4 linked regions of the Arabidopsis thaliana genome follow. The protein of the gene in region 3 interacts with the protein of the main gene of each other region in a biochemical or structural test. Each region holds a gene or a part of one and is shown on either strand. Other genes may lie near its edges.

Region 1 (5,168 bases), on a different chromosome or scaffold from region 3:
CGCCTTTCGAGAAATTTAGGGTTTCTTCTGTCTGTCTCGTCACTCAGGTTTGTGCCTCAACGACTGCTTCACTTCTAGCTTGATTCTTCTTCTTCGTTTATATGTATACTGTACATTAGATTATTCTTGTTTCTCGAGCTTCTGCTATAGATTTTGATTCTTTTTTTTGTTGTCTTTGTTTCGTTTCCAGGATCAGATCTTAGCTAAATTGAGACAAGCTCAAAATGAGGTACTTGACGCATCTCTTACATTCACTGTTTAATTAGAGAACAATACGTCTCTGAATCGTGATTCAGAGACGTATTGTTCTTCTGTCATATGCAATAAGTTTAATTAGAGAACAATACGTCTCTGAATCGTGATTGTTTTTTGGATGTGCGTTATTGATAGCTTTATGATGTTAATAGTCTAGGATTGACACGAAGTTGTTCTGCAGTTTTGCATAAATGCTCTTTACTAAGGCCTCTAAATTTGGATGACAAATCTAAATCTTGCCTCATAAAAATTTAGGTGTATTAAGATAAGATTATTTTGTATGGTAGTGTCTATAATGTGGGTTGTTCATGTTGAGGTTGTCAATGTTGTGTATTTTTGTTTGTTTAGTTAATTTGCTTAACTCTGTTCTTTGTGGGTTAATACAGTAAGCTTCAGAGTGAGGCCGTTCGTGAAGCCATCACTACTATCACAGGGAAATCCGAGGCAAAGAAACGTAACTTTGTCGAGACTATTGAGCTCCAGATCGGTCTGAAGAACTATGACCCTCAAAAGGACAAGCGTTTCAGTGGATCTGTCAAGTTACCACATATCCCCCGTCCTAAAATGAAGATCTGCATGCTCGGAGATGCCCAGCATGTTGAAGAGGTGATATATCTTTTCATGGAAATTGATCATTTTGTGCTCTGTTTCTTGTATAATGGTTTTGTGCTCATTTCATTTGGTGGCTCTATTAGTTTCATTTGATGTTGTATATGTCTTCTGAATGTAGATGCATGATGTTTTCGGAATTTGGTCATTGTTTATTTAGGCTTCATTTCTTGCATAATTAAATATTTGCTTATTTCATCTTGTATCTTTTCGTAGGCTGAGAAGATGGGGTTGGAAAACATGGATGTTGAGTCTCTAAAAAAGCTTAACAAGAACAAGAAACTCGTCAAGAAGCTTGCAAAGAAATACCATGCTTTCTTGGCCTCTGAGTCTGTCATTAAGCAGATTCCTCGTCTTCTTGGTCCTGGTCTTAACAAGGCAGGCAAGTTCTGGCTACAGCTAATATTCCATTGTTCTTCTTTACATCCGTTTTGATTTTGGATAGGTTTTAGTAGTCTATTTCTTTTGTCAATGTCTTTTTGATACAATGCCAATCCTTTATCCTGTGAGATTATGCTTCTTTGATGATTCTTAAGTAACATTCCTTTGCTTTACTTTACACAGGAAAATTCCCAACTCTTGTGAGCCACCAGGAATCCTTGGAGTCAAAGGTGAATGAAACAAAGGCAACAGTGAAGTTCCAGCTGAAGAAGGTTCTGTGCATGGGAGTTGCAGTTGGTAACCTTTCAATGGAAGAGAAGCAGATCTTTCAGAATGTGCAGATGAGCGTCAACTTCCTCGTCTCGCTATTGAAGAAGAACTGGCAAAATGTCAGGTGTTTGTACCTCAAGAGCACAATGGGACCACCACAAAGAATCTTCTGAGCTTTCACCTACTTAAAATTGGTGGCTATAAGACACTTCTTCTTACCCTTTCGTTTTTGTTTCAGACATATCTGTTAAACAGTGTAAGAGTTGTGCTGCTACTCTCCTCTTTAGCTTTTGGTTTGGATAATTTGAAATAACTGCAGTGATTTTGGTTAATGGATTTTGTAGCTTATATTATCTTTGAATTAGATGTGCTTATTTCAAAGACGAATCAATCCACAGATGTGAATAAAAACAGAAATTTTCGTTTTCAATTTGAAAATTGTCCTCGTGGACTGTTCCATAACCAAATTCTATTGACTATGCAGTAATTGATCTTTGAATTAAAAGGATCAACCCACTGATTATACTCCAATTGAATAAATATTCTTCTTTAATGTTGTTTATAATCTCTTAAGCAAGCTCTAATGATGTATTTTTGAAGCAAACTCTAATGCTTTTATGGTCAGTATATTTATTCTCTTAAGTTTTATAACTAAATTACCATTTTTTTTTGCCAAAGCAGACAACAAAATAGCGAAGTGCGTTCCAAAAGTTAGCGTTTTCGTCTCCGTCCCCAAATCTCTCAGCTACCTTAAATCAGAATTCTAGGGTTCTTCCGATTAGGGTAAAATCGAATCCAGATTTCCCAAAATTCTGATCTTTGATTTATAAAAGATGTCTCAAAACGGGAAGATAATCCCAAATCTGGACCAAAACAGTACGAGGCTCCTCAATCTCACAGTTCTCCAGCGGATCGATCCATACATCGAGGAAATCCTCATCACAGCCGCTCATGTCACTTTCTATGAATTCAACATTGAGCTCAGCCAATGGGTTAGTCTCAATCAATCTTCGATTACATAATTTGATGTTTGCTTCCCTACCTAATGATTGATCTGTCTTTTGTCATTCAGAGTCGTAAGGACGTTGAAGGATCTTTGTTTGTTGTCAAAAGGTTACTACTTTCGATCTTTAACTATGTGTATCTTATCTTTAATCGTCTTCTCAAATCTGATTGGATCCTTTTTTTTGTTTCTTTCAGAAGTACACAACCTCGATTTCAGTTTATTGTGATGAATCGTCGTAATACAGGTCAGGATTTATTCAAATAAAGTTGGTGTGTGTCATGTGTCTAGAAAAGGTTTAGATTTAGTAATATATTGCAAGTTCTTATTTAAGGATTCAGTATTAGTAATCATCAGTGTGTTGCTGTATTTGTCTGGATAGATAATCTGGTGGAGAATCTCCTGGGAGATTTTGAGTATGAAGTACAAGGTCCATATTTACTTTACCGTAATGCATCTCAAGAAGTAAATGGCATTTGGTTCTACAATAAACGTGAATGCGAGGAGGTAGCAACTCTTTTCAACAGGTATGTATATATAAGTCACTGCATATCAGGTAGAAACTGTTGGTTTCAATTGTTGGATCATGAATAATATCAATATCGTCTTTTATTTGCCTATTATCAGACAGTTACTTGTTGGCAAATATAATGTTCTTGTATATTTGTATGAACTTGAAATTACTCTTACTCGTTGTATCTCTGCCTAATGGTTCCTTGGCATGACAGAATACTCAGTGCATATTCCAAGGTTAACCAGAAGCCAAAGGCCTCATCTTCAAAGAGGTAATATTTTCATGATTAGATTTAGTTAGTACACCATTAGTTGTTTCTTGGATGTGTTTTCTTTGAGGTGGAAACTTGATAATCTAAATCATTTTTCCCGCTGTTATATCTCTTACTTGTTAAATTAAGTTAGATTTTCTATGTACTGCAGTGAGTTTGAGGAATTGGAAGCTAAGCCTACAATGGCAGTTATGGATGGTCCTCTTGAACCATCATCAACTGCTAGGGATGCCCCTGATGATCCTGCTTTTGTCAACTTCTTTAGCGTAAGTTTCTAAAGCTTCTGTTACACACTCACACTATCATCTTCACCATGACAGCATCTTATACGACTAATGGCAGGAGGGCTTTCTATTAGTTCTAGCCTTCTAGGTTCTTGAATTATCTTCAGCGTAGTATATGGTCCAACTTAGACTCCTCAAATTGTAACACTGAATTTATCTAAATTGTTGACAGTCAACGATGAATCTTGGGAACACTGCGAGTGGGTCAGCAAGTGGACCTTACCAATCATCAGCGATTCCTCACCAACCTCACCAGCCTCACCAACCCACCATTGCTCCTCCTGTAGCGGCAGCAGCACCTCCACAGATACAATCACCACCGCCTCTACAATCCTCCTCTCCTCTGATGACTCTCTTTGACAACAACCCTGAAGTTATCAGCAGCAACTCCAACATTCACACAGATTTGGTGACGCCGTCTTTCTTTGGCCCCCCACGAATGATGGCACAGCCACACCTCATTCCTGGTGTATCTATGCCCACTGCTCCTCCTCTCAATCCTAATAATGCGAGTCACCAGCAGCGGTCATATGGTACTCCGGTGCTCCAGCCTTTCCCACCCCCAACTCCACCACCATCACTCGCTCCTGCACCCACTGGTCCGGTTATCAGCAGAGACAAAGTGAAGGAAGCCCTTTTATCCCTGTTGCAGGTTCGTCCTTTACCACATCACTTTATTTGAGCTGCTGTGCAAACCTAACGAGTTGCTTTTGACAGGAGGATGAATTCATTGACAAGATTACCCGAACTTTACAAAATGCACTTCAACAATGAAGCTGCGCTGGTCAGCATCTACGTGTGGGATAGTGGCTGTTTGATCTAGAATGTGTAGTTAAAATGTAGTTTTGTTCCCTCTGAAAGTGTTGTTGGAACCTTATAAGATACTGCACTGCCCCCTTTGTTTAACTCTTGGAATTACTTTTTCATTTTATCTACTTTCAAGTTTTTACCTTTCCTCATCAATTTTTGTTTCGTAGTCGAAAGACATGTTAAAGACTTTAGATTCACAAATCTTCATGCATGTTTAGAGTTTATTGGAACATATACACATCAAGATTAATACAAAAAACATGAAAGAGTAAGAAGAAAGAGAGATAATTTTTCTATTTTTTAAAAGATTCGAGATTGCAAGACAAAAACTGTTTGTATGGTTCAAGTCAAAGACGTATTGTGATGTTTCGTTTTGAAGTATTATCCCAATCTTTTGTGAGCTTTCCCTCGAGAAACGCTTTTAACATTTAATACTTTAGTTAGACTGACAGACATTCTTAAAATCAAGATCATATAAGAAAGACTTGTCGAGATATAGAATGAAACATCAAATAGCAAAGAAAGCTTTGTTTTGATTGATAATATTACACATAACCAAGAGAGAGCATATAGTACAAACGAAAACAAGAATAGTTATCCTTAGAAGTAATCTTCAGTCCTGCCCTTGAATCCGATTTGTCCGAAAGTGAGGCAGAGGAAGAGGCCTAAGTGCCACGTAACCAACCACAACCAGAACTGTGAAGTGAGAGCTGGAGGAGTCGGGAAGTGAGCGAGCTCAGTTCCGATGCTATCGAAGAAGAGACCCGTCAG
Region 2 (4,634 bases), on a different chromosome or scaffold from region 3:
ACAACAACAATGACTCAATTAACACGATCATATAACTAGCTAGTCCGGTTTATACAATTTACAGACAATTTGATCAGTGTAATTACCTGAGCAACAATGGCATCAGATTTGCCGGCGTAGACGACACAAGACCGGTCGATCCAACTTCCTTTAACATGGAAGTCGCAAATCTTCATTTCTTTATTATGAGCCAAAAAGATGTCTAGTTTTGGCTTCATTATTTGAATCATTGAAGATCGTTTCAATGTGTATAATAGATCACTTTGGTCTGTACTCTTCCCTCTATATACTAGCCACCTATCATGCAAGCTCACCTTCTACAATTTTTATGTTATAAGAAAAAAAAGTTGTGGATCAGATTTTATTGGATGATCTATGACGATTTAACATACTCGAATGAGTGATGATGATTTTGATATTATTTACAATTAGTTGATAGACGTATTGAAAAAGTGTACCTCCATGCAAGTTATAAGAGCATGTTTGTGTATATATGATTTGCATAATGAAATTTTTTTTTTGTATCACCATGAAAAAATTGTGCCTCTCCATGCAAGTTATAAAGAATTGTAGTTGATAGACGTATACTTACATTTTCTCTCAAAGTCAAGATTGGAGTATCGTATGCGTCCAATAAAATCCTTTTGTCGCTGATGCTAAACAAAGGTTCCTTGACTTTGAAAAGGAGATTGCCGTTAACGTCCGTGACGGCGAAGTTACCATCGGTTAAAGTCATCACCTTCCGTACGATTCCCAACTCGATAGGGTACGGTGCACAGAAATTAGGGCTAACGATCGCCATCTTTTTGAAGATCTCTCTCTGTTTTTTTTTTCTCTTTTACGATTCTTGTATAAGGTGGAGATTTGTGTTCGTTTCTCAATCTTTTTAGTTATTTATAATTAGGATATTCCAAGTATTGTGTGAAACAAATCTTCGTGTTTTTAATTTTGTGTTTTTGGCTATATATGTTTTGTTTATTTTTAGAACTTATCTTATTTTAAATCTGCTAGCCAAGTTGCAAGCTGCAAACACGTTAGCGTTACTACACTTTTTTTTTTTGGTTATATAAAAAAAAATAGTTTGATGGAAAAAAAATATTATAAATTGAGGAAATATCTTCTTTTTTGCCAGAAAAGGAAATTAGAAGAAACGTAAAATTAGAAGGTAACTTTTGGTAGGATTAATATGACTTAATTAAAAATGATATGAATGGAGTATGAAAAAGAGAATGATTTTGTTGATAAAATATACTGTCATATAAAATTGGAAAATCCATGCATATTCAATCAAAGTTTTTCTTTTCTTTTTCAATATACCTTTTTAATCCGCTTTAAATACTTCATTATATTTAATTCCTCACATCTTGATCACGGATTATAAATCAAATTTATGTAAAATTATCTTCTCTAAAAAAATAAAAATAAAAATTGAGACATATACATGAGTAATAAAATCCAAACCTTTAATAACAGGGCCAGGACGTTAACGACGGTTAAGTTAGATAGACAAGATTTTGAGCTCGGCCCATTTATCAAAAAGCCCAAATAAGAAGACACACACACGTAAAGAAATCAGTGAGACAAGGTCAAAGCTTCTTTATTGTCTCGGGAAAAACAACAAGGAATTAAACAAATATTAAAAAAACTGGGAACAAAAAAATCCAGTAGAAGTCGTGGGGTTCAATGTTCATGTAAATTGATTGACACGCCCCCTAAACCCAAACCTCTCTTTTTTTTTGTTTCTTATATTATAGAGAAAAAGAGCTTTTTCCCGGAAAGTTGTTCTCATCTTGGAAAATCAAATCTCGGAAACGCAGTCTTCAGCTAAATCATGAGCAACGAGTAGTAAGTGTTTCTCTCCTCCTTGAGAGCCATTCTTTCGTTTTCGATTTTACTCACACCGATTTCGATTTTTTGTTGTTGTAGCGATTATCTGTTCAAGCTTTTGTTGATCGGTGACTCCTCTGTTGGAAAATCGTGTCTTCTTCTCCGATTCGCTGTGAGTTTGACTTGATTTTGATTCTTAATTGATTCCGTCGTCGAGAATTAGCTCGTGTTAGGTTTCTTCTTTTGTACTGTTTCGTGATTTTGGGATTTGTTGCTATTTCTAGGATGATGCTTACATTGACAGCTACATAAGCACCATTGGTGTTGACTTCGTAAGTTCATTCTTTGACCTTGTTTACATACATGATCGAGATTGTTTTATCCCAAACTTACTTATAATGTGGTTGGTTTTGCAGAAAATTAGGACGATTGAGCAGGATGGGAAGACGATTAAGCTGCAAATTGTGAGTTTTCAATTATATAATATGTTTTGGATGATTGTGTTTACTCAATTTTACTGTTGCTGCTCTCTTTTAGTGGGATACTGCTGGACAGGAGCGTTTCAGGACCATCACTAGCAGCTATTACAGAGGAGCTCATGGAATCATTGTGAGCAATCTTTATATTCGCTTTCTTACTTGCTTTTTTTTGGCTTACCTAGACTAGTGTTATGTCCCTATTTCCATTTCTCATTTTAAGTGGTTTAGTCTGAGATTGGTATTGTAATGTTGGAATATGAATCATTTTAATGTTGTAATCCACCCTTTAAGTGATGAACCTTAATGATGATAATTGCAACAGATTGTTTATGACTGTACTGAGATGGAAAGCTTCAACAATGTGAAGCAGTGGTTGAGTGAGATCGATAGATATGCCAATGAGAGTGTTTGCAAGCTTTTAATCGGTAACAAGAATGATATGGTTGAAAGCAAAGTTGTTTCCACCGAAACTGGAAGGGTAAGCTCACATCCCTAGTTAAGTTCCCAGCAATTTTTCCATTTATGATTTTGCTTCTATCTTATGCATAACATCCTTTGCATGGTACTTTCCCCTTTCCTCATTTGATCATTTCATGGTTTCGCATATCTTTAACCATGTGATGATATTACAACCATTGAGATTGTTATACCAGAATTTACGGCTATGAATGTAGATGATCTCTGACCAAATTCCCAAAGCTAGATGATCTGAATCCACCGAGTAGAAATTGCTTATTTTTGCAGCAGCTGTTACTCCTGATACAACTGTGAATTGGTTTTCTTACATTTCATCTACTCAAAATCACTGCAGGCCTTAGCAGATGAGCTTGGAATTCCCTTTCTTGAGACCAGTGCCAAGGATTCTATTAACGTTGAACAGGCATTCTTAACTATTGCTGGCGAGATAAAAAAGAAGTATGTTCACTATCTTTAATCTTTCGCCATAATTTTTTCTGCGAAGATTTAACATAGATTAGGTTTAGTAAACTTGTTCTATTACTATATTCCTTGATCACCATTATATACATCAAATCATTCTCTGTGTTTTTTTCTGCTGCAAAGCATCTTGATTCTCCACTGTTTTCATGAAATAAACTATTCATGTAAAGTTTCAAATCCGAAGTGTGCTATTCTAGACTTGATGACTAATGGAAAGCAAATCAACAAACTAACTGCTGTATCCTTGTAGCTTCCTCAAGCTTGTGTACTTAACTTCTGTTGATAGATTTTCCATATGGTTGATATCTTGTATCGACATTTGCTGATTCAGTCTAGTTTATGTAACATGGAGAATTGAGTCTAATCATATCGTAACTCATTTTCTTTGCAGAATGGGAAGCCAAACGAATGCAAACAAGACATCTGGTCCTGGAACTGTCCAAATGAAAGGTCAGCCAATCCAACAGAACAATGGCGGTTGCTGCGGTCAGTAGTTTAAAAAATGTTTTAATCAAAACTATCTGAGACTCTTTTTTTACTTCCTTTTTAACTAAGTGTTGTGAAAACCAATGGCTGTTTAAAACAACTAAGAAATGTAATATTCCATGTCGCTGTGTCTTGAATAAGCTATGGTGTTAGTTGCAAGATACTTCTCTTTAATATAGTTCAGTCTTGACTTTGACCACACAGGGATATGCAAGCAACTCATGGTTTTGAATTTTGATTGTGTATATATATTAAAAATAGTGATAGATATTCGTTGCTGTATAGGCTGGACCATGTTCATTACCATAGATATTTAAAACTTGCAGCTAAGTCCATAGAATGAGGAAAAGCAAAAACAACATATGAGAGATAAATCTCAATAATGTAAATGCTGAATTATATATACTTCAAAGATACGAGTCCAAATCAAATTCTTCCATTTTCTTACGCTAAAGTATACGGATTTCCAAAAGAAGATTTGTTCTATTTCGTTTACAACGCAATTCTAGTTTATAATAACTCATCATATACTCATGTGGTTTCAAAATACCCCAAATGCATGTTTTTCTAGAAACAATCAGTTTTCTGATTTTGATGAAATCAATCATACCTAGATTCATTCATTTACTCCCACAATTTTAGAAGAAAATCTCATTCCTGCACATCCTTATTTAAAAAATAAAATAAATCAAAAGTGATCTTATTTGTTTGTGTTTAAGTTTTATAAATTCATTTTTTTTTGTTTGAATGATAAAAAGACAGACAGGAAAGATCTCATGACAACGACAGTTAACCGACCTGGTCCCTCTAAAATAAAGTCTGACACAGACTCTCAAACTTTGTCAAATCCAATTCTTATTATTATTGGTAATGAGACTTTTTCTTCACATTCTCCAGATATGT
Region 3 (4,887 bases):
CATTTGTTTTGATACTATTCTTGTAACAAATTTGTAGGAATACTCGTACTTGTATTTACACTCCAGGATATCCTCCTTTGCTACCAGATGACCTTACTGAATCTCTACTTCTAGATGTTCTTGATGGAGTAAGAGTTCTATATGTAAATGGAAGGTCCCGTGAAGCCGAATTGCTTCTTGCGCAAAAGGTGAAATGAAAATGCTCTGTTTGGTGTGTTTTGCTTAGTTCTGTTTACGTATGTTACAGCTCTTTCTCACTCATCTATGGTTTTTATGCAGGCACATAGCAAGAATATACCAATCTTAATTAATGCAGAGAAAAAAAGGACAGGGCTAGATGAGCTCATTGACTTAGCTGATTATGCTATTTGTTCTACTAACTTCCCTCAGGTGAGAGTATTTCTAGGAATAGTTCTGTAATTCACGGATCAATTGGTTCATAGGTTGTGAAATACTAGAGAATCATAGTAAAGAGCATACCACTTTCTTAAAAAGCTCTTTGTTGATGATTAGTGAAATCAATTAGTATTAATTGTTGGTACCATAAATCTGAATATGTGGAATCTATAACTTATGGAGCTTAGGTGAATCTATGAGAACTTCTAATGAACTAGAAGGTTCATGTACTCTTTATTATTTACACCTGAAAAATCCGACAATGTTTTGGTTTTGTAACCAGTAACACATGATCTTGCATCAAAATTGTATCATAGCTTGTGTTTAGAATGACTAGAATCTTTAATGGTCGACTTATTTGATTGGGAAAAACAGGAATGGACAGGGGCACCCTCATCTCCCAGTGCACTTCTCTCTATGCTCATAAGATTACCAAAGCTAAAATTTGTGATCATGACTTTGGGGGAACACGGTTGTGTGATGCTTGAGAGATGTTCCAGTGGTGAGTTTTCCTTATTTACGATTGTCCAAAGGTCAGAGTTTTTGACTTAGGATCACTCATGTTCTCCATAAAGGAAGGCTTATGTATAAGGGGCTAATTTGTAACTAATGTTGTTGTTGGTCAATATATCATTCGAAATCTTTTTACATGCTAACATCACACCATGCCTTCTTCCATGTACATGCTAACTTCTAGTGTATCAACATTACAGAGGTTTCAGGGTCAGAAGAAGAGACAGACATAGATGAATTACACGAGTCTCTGAAACAAAGCACAGACTTTACAAGTGTCTTACCGGTCTGCAATTCATCGGTAAATAACGTTTTCAGATACATAATTTCCTCACAAGTTCTACATTTTGTTAATGAAAATATCTTCAATGCTCTTAACATTTTCAGCTAGTGACTAGACTGACAGGGAATGTTACAGGGAGATTGGTTATAGTAACAGCTGAGAAAATACCTTCATCGGAACTCATAGACACAACCGGTGCTGGAGATGCGTTTACCGGAGCTTTGCTTTATGGTATTACGCTTCACTAAATCGTAGTAAACCAAATGTATCTGAACAGAATCTGACCGACTCCAATTGTTTACAGGTTTGTGCACAGGCATGGCTTTAGAGGAAATGTTGACATTTGCATCTCGAGTCGTAAGTTTGCTTCTTCTTCTTTTGTTTATTCCAGCGCTATTTTCAAAACGCTAGGCGTTACGCGTTTGATCAGAATAGTGATTGAAGGAATTGCGTTTGAAATTTGTGTAGGCTGCTTGCTGCTGCAGAGGTTTAGGAGCTCGAACAAGTCTTCCATATCGTACTGATCCAAACCTTGCAACGTTCTTAGGGACATGACCGTAATTTTCTTTGTTTTCTTGACGTATAAAATCTCAAAGTCTTCTTGACGTATAAAATCTCAAAGTCTTCTTGACGTATAAATACGTCTGTATTTATTTCGTATGAAAGTGAAATAAAATAATGTTCCTAGATGCAGCCAAGTCAGATTCTCGTTTCAGCGTTTGTGTGTGTGACACCGTCTTACTTTACGTGTACCATGTGAACAAAGTTCTAATGAAAAAGTATCACAATATGATAAATTAATAGATGTCTTTTTGTTGAATTCGGTGTATTAGTTATATTAATATCTTAATTATACACCATGAAGAATTAGACAATGAATTAAAGAGATAGATAATGTGTTTTAAATTCTCCCACATGCACATGTAATAATAATTCTGGTGACATCAAGAACAAAATTTAGAAGAATTTTTTTTTAGTCTCATACGTTTTTGAGACAAGTATATATTTCGCGAACGGACATAATTGTTTTAGCGTGTCCGAAAGTTAGCTCCGTGATTATACAAAATCAAGGGGTAGTTTGGGAATAAGATGTCTTAATCAATGTTTTAATTGCAAATTGATGCTGTTAAGCTATTCAGACCAAATCCCCACAGAAAGTGGAAGAGAGCAGGGAGGCACGAAAAGGGAAAAACAAAGTAAGCAAAAAAAAAAAAAAAAAAAAGAGAAACGAAAATAATAATACTCAAAAAATATTCGGGGGGAAATTTTTCCCAGAAACGCGTTTAGATTTGCAAAGTTCGTCTTCTCCAATCTACAGTTCTACACCAAATCTCAGTTTATTCGCTTTGAGGACCTTTTTTTGTAGATTTAGAAGCTCAGTGCTCGTTTTGATTTAATCTAGATCCAGAAAGCTGAAGTCTTTGATCTACGAAACGAAATGGTAAGATTCGTTTAATTTTGGGGGAAATTAGTTTAATTTAGCGATTTTTAAGGGCATCTAATATCGGATCATGGCTTTGTGCTTGACTTTTGAGTCTTCTTCTGTATGATTATAGAGATTTGACTGCAACTACGACTTGTCTGTTTTGGAGTTTGACGTTTGGTCTAATTCTAGTATGATTGGAAATCAAATTTCATGTGATTGAGGTTATTATAGTCTGAAATCAAAAGCAATCAAAAATGTAGTTTTTTAAAGAGTTGTGATTACCATAAGGAAGCTTGTGAGAGCTCAAGAAGCATTCTTTTAGTGACACACTTTTGCTCTACAGGTTGCTAACTTCAATCCATCAGTGGGGTCATTTGTGTGGGTGGAGGATCCTGATGAAGCATGGATTGATGGTGAAGTTGTACAAGTTAATGGTGATGAGATCAAAGTTCTATGCACTTCAGGAAAACATGTATGTGTGTGTGTGTGTTTGCTTCTCATCTAAATTAGAATCACAAGAAGACTTTTGAGAGAAAGCAGTTATTGATTTTTGCTATTTTTGGAAAATTCAGGTTGTTACGAAAATCTCTAATGCTTATCCTAAAGATGTGGAAGCACCAGCCTCTGGAGTGGATGATATGACTAGACTTGCTTATTTGCATGAACCTGGAGTTCTACAGAATTTGCATTCAAGATATGATATTAACGAGATTTATGTGAGTAATTCATATCGATGTCGAATATATATGTACTATGAAATATGTGTGGACTAAATTTTATTTACTTTCAGACTTATACAGGAAGTATACTTATTGCTGTTAATCCGTTTAGAAGACTTCCTCATCTTTATAGTAGCCATATGATGGCTCAATATAAAGGAGCTTCCTTAGGAGAATTGAGTCCACATCCATTCGCCGTCGCAGATGCTGCGTATAGGTAATTTATACACACTAGTGATATATATTACCTTTATTTTTTTGTTGCTGTTGTTGATCCTTATATGTAAACTTGCCTGCTTTCGTGTTCGTTCTAATGCAGACAGATGATTAATGATGGAGTAAGTCAATCTATTCTGGTTAGTGGAGAAAGTGGTGCTGGTAAAACTGAAAGCACAAAGTTGCTTATGAGATATCTTGCTTACATGGGAGGGAGAGCTGCTGCTGAGGGAAGAAGTGTTGAACAGAAAGTGTTGGAGGTGAAAAAAAAACATCATATTTAGTCAAATCAAGTTTTTAGATAATTGAACAAATATCTAAAACTTCAGACTTCAGAGGATGGTCGAATATTCATTTCGGCTGTGTTTACTTTTCAAGAGCAACTGTAGAGTGAACAAATAACTTAAACTTCAGAAAATCAATGCTAGTAGTCATTTACATTAAGGCAAACTGAATAGTCAGCAGCTATTTGCTCACTTCCATATGCATATGATGTTGATTTTCCCTTTTCTTGCTTTGATATGGTTCTTATAAGCTTCTTCATTGTGTCTTTTATTCAGTCGAATCCTGTTTTAGAAGCATTTGGAAATGCAAAGACTGTCAGGAACAATAATTCCAGGTAACCTTTTTTTGAAAAAGCTTTTCAATATCACCACTTTGGGTGTTTCTGAACTGTTTATTTGTGTACTTTATAGTCGCTTTGGTAAGTTCGTGGAGATTCAGTTTGACGAAAAGGGAAGAATATCAGGAGCTGCCATAAGAACTTATTTGTTGGAAAGATCACGAGTTTGTCAAGTCTCTGATCCTGAAAGAAACTATCACTGTTTCTACATGCTTTGTGCTGCTCCACAAGAAGTAAGTTTTGTAGTTCACTTCGGAGTAGTAACACCGAATAACTTACCATACATGTCCAGTATCTGAGCCTCGTTTGGCATACAAACTCACATCTTGTTATCTGAAATGTTTTTTTGTACTATCAGGATGTGAAGAAATTCAAGCTGGAGGAACCAAAGAAATATCACTATCTCAATCAGTCTAAATGTCTAGAGCTGGATAGTATAAATGATGCGGAGGAATATCATGCCACAAGACGGGCAATGGATGTCGTCGGGATCAGTACGGAGGAGCAGGTAGTTATCACAGAACTCCATCAGTCAGATTTTAGCCAAAGCTGCAATATTGCCACTGTAAACGGATTCTATGCTTTGCTGATATCTTGTTTCAGGATGCTATTTTCAGCGTCGTGGCAGCCATTCTCCATATCGGGAATATCGAATTTGCTAAGGGGGAAGAGATTGATTCATCGATACCCAAAGATGATAAATCCTTGTTTC
Region 4 (4,266 bases), about 17 Mb from region 3:
TTCTTATACCGACATTTTAGCTGAGTAATAAACATATGTACTGTTCTTGTTACTTTGCAGCCCCAAGGCATCAAGATCACTAAACAAGATACTGCCGCATCGTCTTCTACAGCCGAGAAGTCAGCTTGCTGTAGTTACGTTTAGGAGTATGATTGCTCTTTTTCGCCTGCACCGGGTTTTTTAAATATCTGGCCATCTTTTTCATCTCTTACGTCTCAAATCAGAGATAATTCTCATGTTGTTACCTAGAACGAGTAGGAAATCTCATTGATGGTTGTGATCTTTATGTCTAATTTGTTATCTCCATAATTCCTGTACAATGATCTTCCTGATATGGAAGACTATGTTGGTCAAAAAACTATGTGAAAAAGACTTTGAATTTATAAAAATGAAACTGTTGTAGTGTGTATACCTCTGACTTCACTGTTCAAATCAGGATTTATCTTATTCACTGTGAATGCTGTTCTCTACTAGAACCATAGTTTGAGCCAAAATAAACACGGATTTAAGAAAACACTTGATGGGGTTTATTCTATTATATGATGTTATTATCACAAATCTCATTTCAGAAGCAAAAGAAGAATACAAGTAATCCCACAAATTTACATTGAAGCTACATTATGTTCTACACACAAAAGAGGCAACCACAGAGAGAAGAATCAGGTTCAGTTTGCAATACACAAGATAAAGATTCGAGTATTTTATATGCAACATCGACTAGGGTCACTAGCTGCAACAGCCGGATTGAGTATTAGTCTGGTGTTCTGGTTTCTGCTTCAAGATGTTTCTCTTCACAGCACTTGATCCTTCTTCCAAGAGACTAGGTACCTCCATTATCTGTTTCATCACATTCACTCTATGTTATATATGAATCTCTCTTTTCGAATCGTTTTTTTAAACAGATTTAAGGATCTTTACCTTCAAAGCCAACTCTTCGAAACACTGTTCCACGTTTTGTCGAGTTCTAGCACTACACTCAAGAAACATGCAGTTGAGTTCTTTTGCTAGAGCAATCCCTTCTTCTCTGCTTACTCCTCTCTCAGATTCCTGTAATCATATGTTTTATCCAGTCAACTACCAAAATGACCAAACCGTGTTTTGAGAACAAGTAGTGCGATTTCGATTGCAACTCACTCTATCGACTTTGTTCCCAACGAGCATCCTTACACATTCTTGGTTTGTGGAGTAAAGCTCAATCTCCTTACCCCACACATCTACTAAGTTTGTAAATGTCTCCCTTCTCGTCACATCATAAACTGCATTCACCAAGAAACATTAACTAAACAGTTTACAGACAGAGAGATCTCTTAGTCTCCTTTGATTGATTGATTGATGATGGACGTTACCGAGAATGATTCCTTGGGCGCCTCTGTAGTAAGAGCTTGTCAGTGTTCTAAACCGTTCCTGTCCAGCTACAATGAGAAAACCGAGAATATTATCAGAACCATTAGTTTTATTTACAATAAAACTTCTATAATAATCTCAAAATATAGAATCATTCACCTGTGTCCCAGATTGTGAGTTTTAGCCTTTTGCCTCCTACTGTCAATTGTTTGATCTTGAAATCAACACCTATGAGTAATACTTATGTTAAACCAACAATATAATGCCAATAAGATCCGACAAAACAGACTTCCTTAAACCAAACCAAGACCAGACTGCTAGATTATCAGACAGAAAGTATCTAACTGGGTCTAACCAAAAAAGTCAATATTGTTTCAGTGGCAATTCGATCAAAGACAGATGTTCATCATTCAAGCTCTTCCATTTATAGAATACTACTATTTGATCAACAACTAAAGCACCAAAGACATGACTTAGCTTCATATCAATTTCAGAGCTCTTAAGACATAAATCTGAGACCCTTTTTCAAAAATCATAGAGGAAACAAGTTGAAGAAAACTATTTTACCAATAGTAGGAGCAAGATCTTCAACGGAGCTAGAAATGAAGCTGACAAGCAAACTGCTTTTACCAACACCAGAATCACCAATCAACAAGATCTTAAAAGACAGATCGTATCCACTTTGCCCAGAAGAAGATCCCATTTTCTAAAACCTCAGATTTGCTGTTTCTCGATCTGTAATTCTAGAAGATCAAATCAAATCCTACTTAACCACCAACTACTACAAAAGCAAACTTTTAGATAAACAATAATATGAATCTATGAAGCAGTAATGATGATAATGATAATGATAATGATGCTTCCTCGTTTGATAATTACATCTATCTGCACTCTCTACTTTATAAGTAGTAGCAATCTAAGAAAAAGGGAGAATTTTTATTTGCCTGTGAATGATGCAAACAAATGTTTTGATTAAAATAAGGAAAAGAAATGTGATGAAGAAACTGGAAGATTTATTCTTTACGGAGAAAGAGAGGAGAACTGGTAAAATGAGAGTTTTTTTTTTTTTTTTCTTTTGAAGAAGAAGACAAGACACAGACCTGAGATAGTAACGTTTGTTCTTTGCTTTCTTCTCTCCGACACTTTGCTTCACTCAAACGTCTCTGTTTTGGTTTCCAGGTTCTTTTGTCGACGTGTGTGTGTAGCGTTTTGGAATCGCGGCTGCGGTTGCCATATCTATTAACCACTGCGGTTGGAGACTAACCGTTTTCGTGGGCTACCAATTGAAACGATTTGATTTTGTCAGTTAGTTTGTTAAAGCGTTTTAAATTAGCGATTGTAAAAAGGGAATGAGCATTATTTTTGGACAGACTAATTTAAACAGTCTAAAAAATTAGACGATTCATTGAACCGCTTAGAAAAAGTGGTTGGAATTCATTATTATTTTTAAATTTTAATGTGTCTATACTTTCATGAATTTTGTTTTTTATATCTATAAAACAATTTATGATATGTCACTAGCTTACTATACATATTTTTTTAGTCATTAACATCATTTCTCATTGCTTTAGGCTATATTGTATTCTCTACAATATAAATTGAAATAAGGAAAAAAAAAACTTACAATGACTAAATTTTAGTCACCAATGGAACTAATTATTTTGTAAGAAGGTTGAAAACTACTTTTTTTTTTTTCTAGAAGAGTCGGCGAACAGTGATGGTTAAATGAATTATGGGAGCCATGTTTGGCCTTCGTCTGCTGTCAGCCAAGCCCCTGCGAAACCCCACCCCTGGCCTGTGCAAAAGTTTACGCGCGCATTCTGAGAACGTGCTTTCCACGCTCCGATTAAGACGTCACTAAGAGTCAAAGCACTTTGATTTTCTCTTCTTTTCTCACAAAACACTTTCTTTTTTTATATACAGTATGATTTTTTTTTTTGTCGTCATTTTTTTTTATTTATTTATTTAATATGCCTCTTATGGTAAAACATATTTCAAGAAGGTTTATGTTTCTATAAACTAAAAGTTATCAACGGCAGATGAATAAATATGGAACTAATTTTCTCTCTAAATATCCAAAAATATGAGAATGTTGTCCATGGTTTTGGGAACAGAATGAGTGACGGAAAAGCCATGAAAAGAAAAGGTATCTTAGGAATATCATCTTCCTTTTGCTCGCCTAACCTTTTTTTATTGTTCTTCTCTTTTTGAATTTAAAATATTTTTCTGCTCTCTAGTAAACATTTAAACCATCGTAATAAATTGAGAATAAAGTGTGTGTATGTTTGTGTGTGTGAATGTTCGGTGTGATTTCAATTTATTGGAGGATAGAACTGTTGTGTCGAAATTGACACACCAAGGTGCCAAGTTGAGTACAAAATAAAGATCCTCTAGAGGCTACATCTTCGTCTAACAATCCTCATAAGTCTTCTTCTTCTTCTTTTTTTTTTAGTTTTCAACACACTAATGTCAAGTGTTTTGTTCATTTCTTTTTAGTTATAATATGTCTCTTGAGAAAATGTTGATATTTAGTTTGTTGTTGAGCCATTTATTTTCTGAGACAAATTTGGTCGTTAATGGATAATATTCTTAGAGATAGATCTACAGTACTGTGACTTTTGTGTAAAAACAAATTTGTAGCCGTATTTAATGGGCTATTTCGTATTTGGACAATAGCCTTTTATTTTGTGGGCCATGATATGTCAACACTGCTCAATGCTTATAAATGTTGTCGACATTTAACGAACGATATAACACCAAAAACTTCGAGTTTGTAAAGAAAAATTATGAGAGGATTACATTATGGTTAGCATATCTGACTATAATAAATTGAAAAATTACATTACTGGTTGATGGAAAGACAAATTTTTATTGAAGTGTACTTATTTCTTTAATTTTATTGGAATATAATATTCGATATGT

Evidence for each region.
Region 1: the proteins of MYA2 (region 3) and DCP1 form a complex in vitro, tested with the Arabidopsis thaliana proteins (one study listed by BioGRID).
Region 2: the proteins of MYA2 (region 3) and ATFP8 form a complex in vitro, tested with the Arabidopsis thaliana proteins (one study listed by BioGRID).
Region 4: the proteins of MYA2 (region 3) and RABC2A form a complex in vitro, tested with the Arabidopsis thaliana proteins (one study listed by BioGRID).

What each region holds. Positions count from the first base shown.
Region 1 is NC_003070.9:2,636,007-2,641,174, forward strand, and holds DCP1 (decapping 1), read left to right. Parts: upstream 1-2,030; 5' UTR 2,031-2,348; coding exon 2,349-2,507; intron 2,508-2,587; coding exon 2,588-2,628; intron 2,629-2,715; coding exon 2,716-2,765; intron 2,766-2,900; coding exon 2,901-3,045; intron 3,046-3,246; coding exon 3,247-3,303; intron 3,304-3,454; coding exon 3,455-3,569; intron 3,570-3,759; coding exon 3,760-4,239; intron 4,240-4,304; coding exon 4,305-4,361; 3' UTR 4,362-4,657; downstream 4,658-5,168. Other genes in the region: AT1G08360 (Ribosomal protein L1p/L10e family), read left to right, coding at 225-229, 642-861, 1,081-1,246, 1,429-1,688; PSAO (photosystem I subunit O), read right to left, coding at 4,998-5,168.
Region 2 is NC_003074.8:3,708,595-3,713,228, reverse strand, and holds ATFP8 (Ras-related small GTP-binding family protein), read left to right. Parts: upstream 1-1,611; 5' UTR 1,612-1,831; coding exon 1,832-1,845; intron 1,846-1,926; coding exon 1,927-1,999; intron 2,000-2,111; coding exon 2,112-2,159; intron 2,160-2,243; coding exon 2,244-2,291; intron 2,292-2,364; coding exon 2,365-2,436; intron 2,437-2,628; coding exon 2,629-2,784; intron 2,785-3,117; coding exon 3,118-3,221; intron 3,222-3,636; coding exon 3,637-3,739; 3' UTR 3,740-4,098; downstream 4,099-4,634. Other genes in the region: AT3G11740 (LURP-one-like protein (DUF567)), read right to left, coding at 87-317, 593-802; AT3G11720 (Polyketide cyclase/dehydrase and lipid transport superfamily protein), read left to right, coding at 4,508-4,548, 4,629-4,634. UniProt on the Arabidopsis thaliana protein: Protein transport. Regulator of membrane traffic from the Golgi apparatus towards the endoplasmic reticulum (ER).
Region 3 is NC_003076.8:17,664,397-17,669,283, reverse strand, and holds the start of MYA2 (myosin 2), read left to right. Parts: upstream 1-1,832; 5' UTR 1,833-1,870; coding exon 1,871-1,957; exon of another isoform or gene 1,958-1,974; intron 1,975-2,320; exon of another isoform or gene 2,321-2,331; coding exon 2,332-2,388; exon of another isoform or gene 2,389-2,594; coding exon 2,595-2,633; intron 2,634-2,961; coding exon 2,962-3,090; intron 3,091-3,190; coding exon 3,191-3,334; intron 3,335-3,408; coding exon 3,409-3,554; intron 3,555-3,656; coding exon 3,657-3,813; intron 3,814-4,113; coding exon 4,114-4,172; intron 4,173-4,248; coding exon 4,249-4,408; intron 4,409-4,533; coding exon 4,534-4,683; intron 4,684-4,778; coding exon 4,779-4,887. Other genes in the region: AT5G43910 (pfkB-like carbohydrate kinase family protein), read left to right, coding at 38-188, 280-390, 772-898, 1,110-1,210, 1,297-1,423, 1,497-1,549, 1,661-1,747. UniProt on the Arabidopsis thaliana protein: Myosin heavy chain that is required for the cell cycle-regulated transport of various organelles and proteins for their segregation.
Region 4 is NC_003076.8:885,015-889,280, forward strand, and holds RABC2A (RAB GTPase homolog C2A), read right to left. Parts: upstream 2,687-4,266; 5' UTR 2,445-2,686; exon of another isoform or gene 2,080-2,444; 5' UTR 2,048-2,079; coding exon 1,912-2,047; intron 1,573-1,911; coding exon 1,504-1,572; intron 1,413-1,503; coding exon 1,347-1,412; intron 1,257-1,346; coding exon 1,135-1,256; intron 1,048-1,134; coding exon 919-1,047; intron 838-918; coding exon 727-837; 3' UTR 508-726; downstream 1-507. Other genes in the region: RAB8C (RAB GTPase homolog 8C), read left to right, coding at 61-144. UniProt on the Arabidopsis thaliana protein: Intracellular vesicle trafficking and protein transport.